Drosophila melanogaster: one gene and its partner. The protein of the gene in region 2 purifies or fractionates together with the protein of the main gene of each other region. This does not show direct contact. Each region holds a gene or a part of one and is shown on either strand. Other genes may lie near its edges.

The links. Proteins that work in one complex are often made in the same cells at the same time.
Region 1: the proteins of Yp1 (region 2) and PPO1 purify together in Drosophila melanogaster (affinity purification with mass spectrometry, with the first as the bait; one large-scale study listed by BioGRID). This does not show direct contact.

What each region holds. Positions count from the first base shown.
Region 1 is NT_033778.4:17,887,961-17,891,715, forward strand, and holds the start of PPO1 (prophenoloxidase 1), read right to left. Parts: upstream 2,014-3,755; 5' UTR 1,941-2,013; coding exon 1,585-1,940; intron 1,528-1,584; coding exon 1,392-1,527; intron 1,323-1,391; coding exon 828-1,322; intron 754-827; coding exon 120-753; intron 1-119.
Region 2 is NC_004354.4:10,051,833-10,055,587, reverse strand, and holds Yp1 (yolk protein 1), read right to left. Parts: upstream 1,778-3,755; 5' UTR 1,672-1,777; coding exon 1,452-1,671; intron 1,375-1,451; coding exon 275-1,374; 3' UTR 90-274; downstream 1-89. Other genes in the region: Yp2 (yolk protein 2), read left to right, coding at 3,005-3,239, 3,308-3,755. UniProt on the Drosophila melanogaster protein: Vitellogenin is the major yolk protein of eggs where it is used as a food source during embryogenesis. Along with Yp2 and Yp3, and their receptor yl/yolkless, required for maintenance of microtubule plus-end orientation towards the posterior pole of oocytes.

The DNA of each region.
Region 1 (3,755 bases), on a different chromosome or scaffold from region 2:
GTTGTCAGTAGGGAAAAGTATAAGCTAAAATCACTGGCTAGCTTTGTACGAAAGAAACACTTTTTAAATACCAAAATATTAAATAAATATATATACTAAGAAATACAGTTATTACTCACAATCAACTGTGAACTTGTCCATTTCGATGGCCAACAGTCGCTGCTCCTCCAGATTCAAAGCCTGATTACGCTCATCCACCTTGGGGCAGATGAAGATACGGCAAGTACCCGTTCGTCTGGCTCCATTATTGGTCACATTGAATGTATAAGTGAAGGGGGCATTCTGGAGATGGGTGAACGAGGCGAATATGTTGCGATCGGTCGTTGGTCCAAAGTCCAGGCCAGCTGCCAAGTCGGCACTCGACTTCTGCCAGTAGGTCAACAGGGTGTTGGCCTTGGTATTGGACTTGCCAATCTTGGCCTCAATGTAGTCCACGGTAATACCATCGAAGTTAAGCTCACCGGCATTGTACGGGTTCAGGCGAGTCTTGAATTTGTTGAACACCGTGTCGATGAATCCGTGCCACCTGTAGAAGATTGGATCCCTCATGGCCGTGGTCACATCGCCCATCACACCGAATTCCTCCAAGTGACGGTAATCGGGATCGTGGGCAAAGGAGATTATGTTGTGCCCCTCGTTGTGTAGATTGCCATAGAAATTATAGTTGATGGATAGGACTGGCGATGCCTCAATCATGTTGCCCAGGATATCGATGCCACGAACTTCGTCCAATGGTATACGATTGCCAGAAGACTATGGATTAGCAAATAAAAATTTCTAGTGCTTTCTATGACCTATGCTCAATATTCCAAACGGGCCCAACTCACATCTTCAACGTATCCTTGATCTATGGCAGCCAGCACGCGATCACGCCAGCGCTCCACATCGGAGATCTCCACACGCCCATCATGGCGGTCCACGTCCCTCAGCTTTTGGTTGGTCACTCGGGCGGGATAGGTGCGGTTATTCGTGCTGGACAGGATCTTGGGGAAGTAGCCCTCGGGAACCTCCACACGCAGATTGTTCAGCGGCTGAACCTTCTTCAGATTGTTGCAGAAGCGCTCCACATTGTAGCGCGCGAGTATCTGGTGGTGCATGTAGTAGAAGAGCTCGCCACGACGATCCTTGTTGACCACCTCCGTGGGTCCGGTGGTCGGGTAGACCAAGTGCCAGTGCCAATGATGGCTATTAACACCGATGTCCTCACGGAAGTACGCCAGGCGCTGTTCATCCTCGCGATCCGAGGCCGTGTAGTTTTGCGGAATGTCCACATGGACACGAGCGCCGCTCTCTCCAATAACAGAAGCTTCCTGACGGGCATCCTGTGGTCAAATTTATAAATACACCATTAAAGACTTTGATTGGTCAAATAAAGAAGAACTTAAACGAACCCGGAAGGCGGAAGGTTCTACAAAGTTGCTCGGAAAGATCTGGGAAATGTTGGTAATGGGCACTTCACGCGTATCCGGGCGATGGGCAACGGCGACGGCATAGGCGTATTGGAACAACACAGGATTCACACGATCCCTAAAAAATTAATACATTATACAATACATATATATTTATTTTAGTACAAGTACTTACTTGGTGTAAACGGAAAGCGACACGAATTGTCTGAGATTTGGTGCGCTCATGAAGAGGGTGATCAGCTCGCTGGCGATCTCACGATGGCGATTGTTAAACAGCGAAAATTGATTCTTGAGACCAATCTTTTTGGTGAACTCCAGACTGGGAACGTTGCTCAACTCCTGAATTGGGATCTTCAGATCCACGTCCTTAGAGAATCGATTGCCCACCTCCTCGGTGTCATTGCGATAGCGATCCGTATAGAAGGAATCGGGCAGTTCCAATACAGTTTTTCCGGAGTCACGAGTGGTGAATGCCGGTTCCAGGGGTCGCTGGAACATAAGTTCCAAGGCTTTCAGATCCGTGTTAGTCATGGTTTTCTCTATGGATGTACACTTTCAACTACACTTTTAACTTCACTCAACGAAGCCAGTTGCAGAACTGTGATTTTCCCAGGAAGCCGAACTCATTTTATAGCTAACTAGCAGTCCGAATATAAAAATAATATTTTTAAAAATATTCATTATCAAGTCCCAACCGCAAAACTGCAATGGTCGAGCCTTTTTTCTCACAAATCCAAACGTTGTGGTTTAGTCGATAGCTTCTGAAAAAGCAAAAAGTGCAATACCGCAAAAGTTGTTGAGCCGCAAAATGATAAGAGAAATACTTTTAATTGCTTGCATAAAATAATATACCATTGTTGATTTTCAGTTGAATGTTGTTAAACGTGAAACTGTATTGAGCTTGTTAGATACATATACTGATTTTTTTTCAATACTGCACTGCCTAATGTATACCCACAACCAATTAATTGTTTTCAACTTTTTGAAGAGTTATTAGTTCCGGGGTAGGAAGCTTAAATTGAATTTCTTTGTCTTTGCCGAAAAAGTATCCGAGAAACCTTTTTGCGACCACGCGAAATACAACTCCCAAAGTAAACAAGCCGAAGGCCACCGGAAAAGCTTCTTATTCGCATAGAAATAACACCGAATACTTGCTCAACAGGCTGCCACGCCCCCTTAAAAAGAACCGCCCATCGCCGAATGGGAGGCCATAAATTTGGCTTGGAGCAGAGGGCTCGTCCTTCGACATGGCCCATAAATTTGGTTTTTGAAATGGCAGTGTGTAGCTGAATGTAACTAAGAACTAACTGGCAAGAGAGCTTGGATGATTAAAATATCTATACTGTAAATCAATTTTTGTCGCTACGCCGTCTGGCCAAATGAACGATGTTGGCCAAAAAGCAAAGCGAATGGCCAAACTTTTGGCCATTGTCAATAATAAATGTTTCTGCCGACTTTGGCGTTGAAATGTGTGCGCATTAATCTGTGAAATTGACAGCAACAAAAACGAGCGTAACAAGTTTGCATAAATGTGCGGGTTTCGGGCGAAAATTGAAAAGATGAATTTTCACAATTTCTGCACTCTGGCCATAACAACATGAAAATGACTTTTCTGCTCGACTTTGTTTTGCTAATGTCGATGTTCCAGCAGATACACCATCTTTTCAGTTTATGAACTATGTACGGTAAGCAATGTAAGCCAAATTTGACTACCATCAATTGAATTTTTGTTTGAAATAACTTAGGCAAGAATATTTTATACGATTTTTTGTAGATTCTTTTAAACCATGCATACCACTTATGTATGTAATATAGTAATATATTGCAGAGTATATTGAAGTTGGCTTTTCCTAGAAAACACTTGACTGCACGCAAACATTTATCCGAGCAATGTAATTTTTCATTGAATATTCAACGACAGCCATGGCAAATGTGCTCCAGATTCCAGCCCAAAAGACAAACTTGCTTTAATTAATTATAAATTGTGGAAAAGTGTGTGCTTCTGCGAACTTGGCAGTGTGAATTGAATTAGAATGAAAATGGGCCAAAGCAAAAGCTTTAGGCCAGGACACGTGCAGAGCCTGCTTTCACCGGCGAAACAGAACAAAAAAAAAGGAAAAAACCCAAACTTTTACCAACAAGTCTTAAAAACCACGCAAGTTTGTAAAAGGCGCCAAGCACTCTTTCTGTTTGGCTTTATGGGCGAAAGTCTGGTCCATAAAATGAGCTGTGGGTATGCGTTAATTACCCGCTGGCTTAAATTTTACATTTTGGCTTAAGCACTCTGCGGCCAGGTTCGAAAACACATGATGCCTCCGCCCCAAAGAACATTCCAAACTATTCATT
Region 2 (3,755 bases):
ATATTTACTTTTGATTTTGTTCCCTTTTTTTTGGGATGATCTATTAGACTATTATAGTTCCTAAATGATTTAAGATAAACAAAATAGATATTTTTAAGCTCTTTATCGAGCGTTTATTTGCTGAATTTCGCGATGTGCTCGTTAAATGTTTAGGTAATCTCAAGAAAAGGGCCAATATGGGTTCAACTTAGGGACTACAGTGTTTGTGTGGTTGGGTGGTTGTTTGTTGTTTGGTAGTTGCCATTCCAGGTGTCCAGAGTAAGCAGACTCATCCTTACTGGTAGTCCTTGCTGTCCTGGTTGGTGTTCCACGCCTGGTGGACACCGTGGTAGCTGCTCTGCTTCTGGGCGGGTGCGTTGCGGCCGAAAGGAGACTTGGGGTTCACCTGCAGAATGTAGTCACCCTCGAGATCGTGAGCGGTATCGATGCCCATGTAGGCACGCTTGCCGAATCCATCGTTCTGCTTGTACTGCTGCAGGGAGTTGGCTGGCACGGCGGGGAAGCTCCTCTCGTTTCCGGGACGCACGGACTCGGCGAAGTAGCGGGTGGCACGCATGGCGGCCTCCACCACGTTGCTGGCTCCGGGAACACCGGCGGCAGGTCCATTGGGATAGAAGTCAACATCACCGGAGCGGATGGGGGTGCCCATGCCGTAGACCGAGGTGTGGATGGCGTCAACGAATTCAGCATCACCGCGAGCCAGACCGGTCAGGGTGTTCTTGCTCTTGGCCACGATCTTGGAGGGATCCAGACCGGTGACACGGCGCAGCTTGTGTCCGGTGAGACGGGTGAATTCCTGGGCAGCGGCACCGGCAACATGGGCACCCACATTCTGGCCAATCAGGTGAATGGTATCGAAGGGCATGTCCAACTCGTTGACCATCTGGACGATCCACTTGCCGATCTTGGCGCCGGTCTTCTCAATGTCGAGCATGGCATAACGCTCATAGGTGTTCAGCTTGGAGCCCAAATCGATCACAATGATGTCGCCGCTTTGGGTCTTGGCGTTCTTAACCTCCTCGCTGTAGTCCTCCTCGCTGCTGGTCCTCTGGTTCTTCCTCTGTTCGTTGCTCTGATCCTGGTAGTCCTGGTTGCCGTTCTTGCCGTGCTGGCGCTGCTGCTGCAGATTGTAGCGCTGCATGTAAGCCTGAACCAGCTTCCTGGTCGCCTTCTTCACGGTCTCGCTGGTCTGGGGCAGTCCGGTCACAATGATGGTCACCTCATCCTCACCAAAGTTCTGCTTCTGCTTCAGGCGCTGGATCATCTCGTTCAGGGGAGCAACGGTCTTGTCACCATTGGGCTTGGGCACATAGACCTGGATGCCGCTGGGCACATAGTTGGGCTCAACGTTGTGGTGGATCTGCGACAGGTGGTCTACAAAGGATATATATATTCCATAGAATATTCGATGTTTTTTTTTTTTTTTTTTATCTGCATCTAGGATTACTCACAGACTTGCTGCAGCAGCTCGGCGCCACGCTCCAGGTTCATGTTCTCCAGACGCTCAATGGTGAAATCGTCGAGGGCGGGAATGGCCTCCAGCTGGGATCCGGAGAGCCACTGCGACGGCTTCAATGCCTGGTTGACGGAGTTGTCCATACGGCCATTGGGCTTGGCCAAGGCGGCGACCGCCAAGCAAGCCAGAAGGCTCAGCACTCTCATGGGGTTCATGGTTCGGATTTGGGATTTGGTCCTGCGGATGCGACTTCAACACTGAGTGAGTTGAACTGGCCTTCCAAATCCAACGATGGTGGTTTATATACCACAATTTGCGCTGAGCGATTTCCCATTTTCTGACTCGCTTTTCGCTGGCTCAGGCCTTAATCGGTCACTTGTGCTGAGTAAGGGTTTTCGGGTGCCTGGGAATCGGATGAGTGTATATGCTATCGATAGCGGAATAAATTGTATACATACAAAATAGACACGGGGCCTACCTATAGCTGACCCCACTGATGACTTAGCAGCACCTGCTGCCGCCTGATTATTTTAATTTGTAATCACTTTGTAGGCTCCGCTGATTGCAACATTGTAGTTGTGCACCGGATTTGATCAAATAAATGCATAAAATATAGATCTAACATGGGCATTAGTTGGTTATTATATACAACATTTTATTGATTTTTTTTGTTTATAAGTAGATTTATATTTGGCACTTTTCTTCTGCTTAATTAAAAGTCCATAATTTTGCATTTTCAATTCAAGGCCGATACAGTTCATTGATTCCTAGATGTTTGCCATTGATACGAAAAGTATGGAATGTTTGTAGTTTCCAAGGCAAGATAGTAAGATTATATTTGTTTTTGGACTTTAGAAATGAATTGATTCAGGGGAACGTTTTTCAAGGAGATTCTATTTTAATATCCGGGATTCGTTTTATAATATATGATCTTATCGATGCTATTTCATGTAACTCATTCTACTTATTAAAAATATATGTATATTTCGATAGATGTAAATATTTATATTTATAATATTATAATTTATAATATATTTATTTTGCATTTCCCTGAAAGTGCTATCTGCTTATAGAACAATTTAGACAATTCTTTTGGCAAACACTTAAATAGTTGCATAAATTTCACAAAATTGCCAAATATTTTTTTCAAACAAAAGCTTTATCTTGACCTGTGCATGAGTTCAAGTCGTGCCCCCACTGTCAAGCCCCTTAATGGCCAGACCACCTTTTGTTTATGTTATGAAAGTGCTGGTTAAAGAAGTTTCCCATTACCTGTTACCCGATGGATACTTAATAACCAAAAAAAAAAAAAAAAAAGGGGAACGAAATTTTAGAGCTCATCAGAAGTGTTGCAAAATCACTGACGCTGCGAATCAATGCATTTGTGCTGATCCAGAAATCGGTTGCTGAAATCAATTGCTTCCGGCGCGTGCATTATAGTGTGTATAGACTACCGATTCCAAGGGGTATAAAATGCATTGAGTCGCAGCAGTGGGTATGCAGTACAATTTGGTACGGTGTCTGAAAAAGTCGAACTTGGAAGCCACAATGAATCCTCTGCGCACCCTTTGCGTTATGGCCTGCCTTCTGGCGGTCGCCATGGGTAATCCCCAATCTGGTAACCGTTCCGGTCGCCGATCCAACTCCCTGGACAATGTGGAGCAGCCCAGCAACTGGGTCAATCCACGTGAAGTCGAGGAGCTGCCCAACCTGAAGGAGGTTACCCTTAAGAAGCTGCAGGAGATGAGCCTGGAGGAGGGCGCTACGCTGTTGGACAAGCTCTGTAAGTTCAAGGATCTCTAAAAGTTCTACCAATCATGTTATATTTACACGCACTATCCTATCCCGCAGACCATCTGTCCCAGTTCAACCATGTCTTCAAGCCCGATTACACCCCGGAACCCAGCCAGATCAGGGGCTACATTGTCGGCGAGCGCGGCCAGAAGATCGAGTTCAACCTGAACACTTTGGTGGAGAAGGTTAAGCGCCAGCAGAAGTTCGGCGACGATGAGGTCACCATCTTCATCCAGGGCCTGCCCGAGACCAACACCCAAGTGCAGAAGGCTACCAGGAAGCTGGTGCAGGCCTACCAGCAGCGTTACAACCTCCAGCCCTATGAGACCACCGACTACTCCAACGAGGAGCAGAGCCAGAGGAGTTCCAGCGAGGAGCAGCAAACGCAGCGCAGGAAGCAGAACGGTGAACAGGATGATACCAAGACCGGAGACCTGATTGTGATTCAGCTGGGCAATGCCATCGAGGACTTTGAGCAGTACGCCACCCTGAACATTGAGCGTCT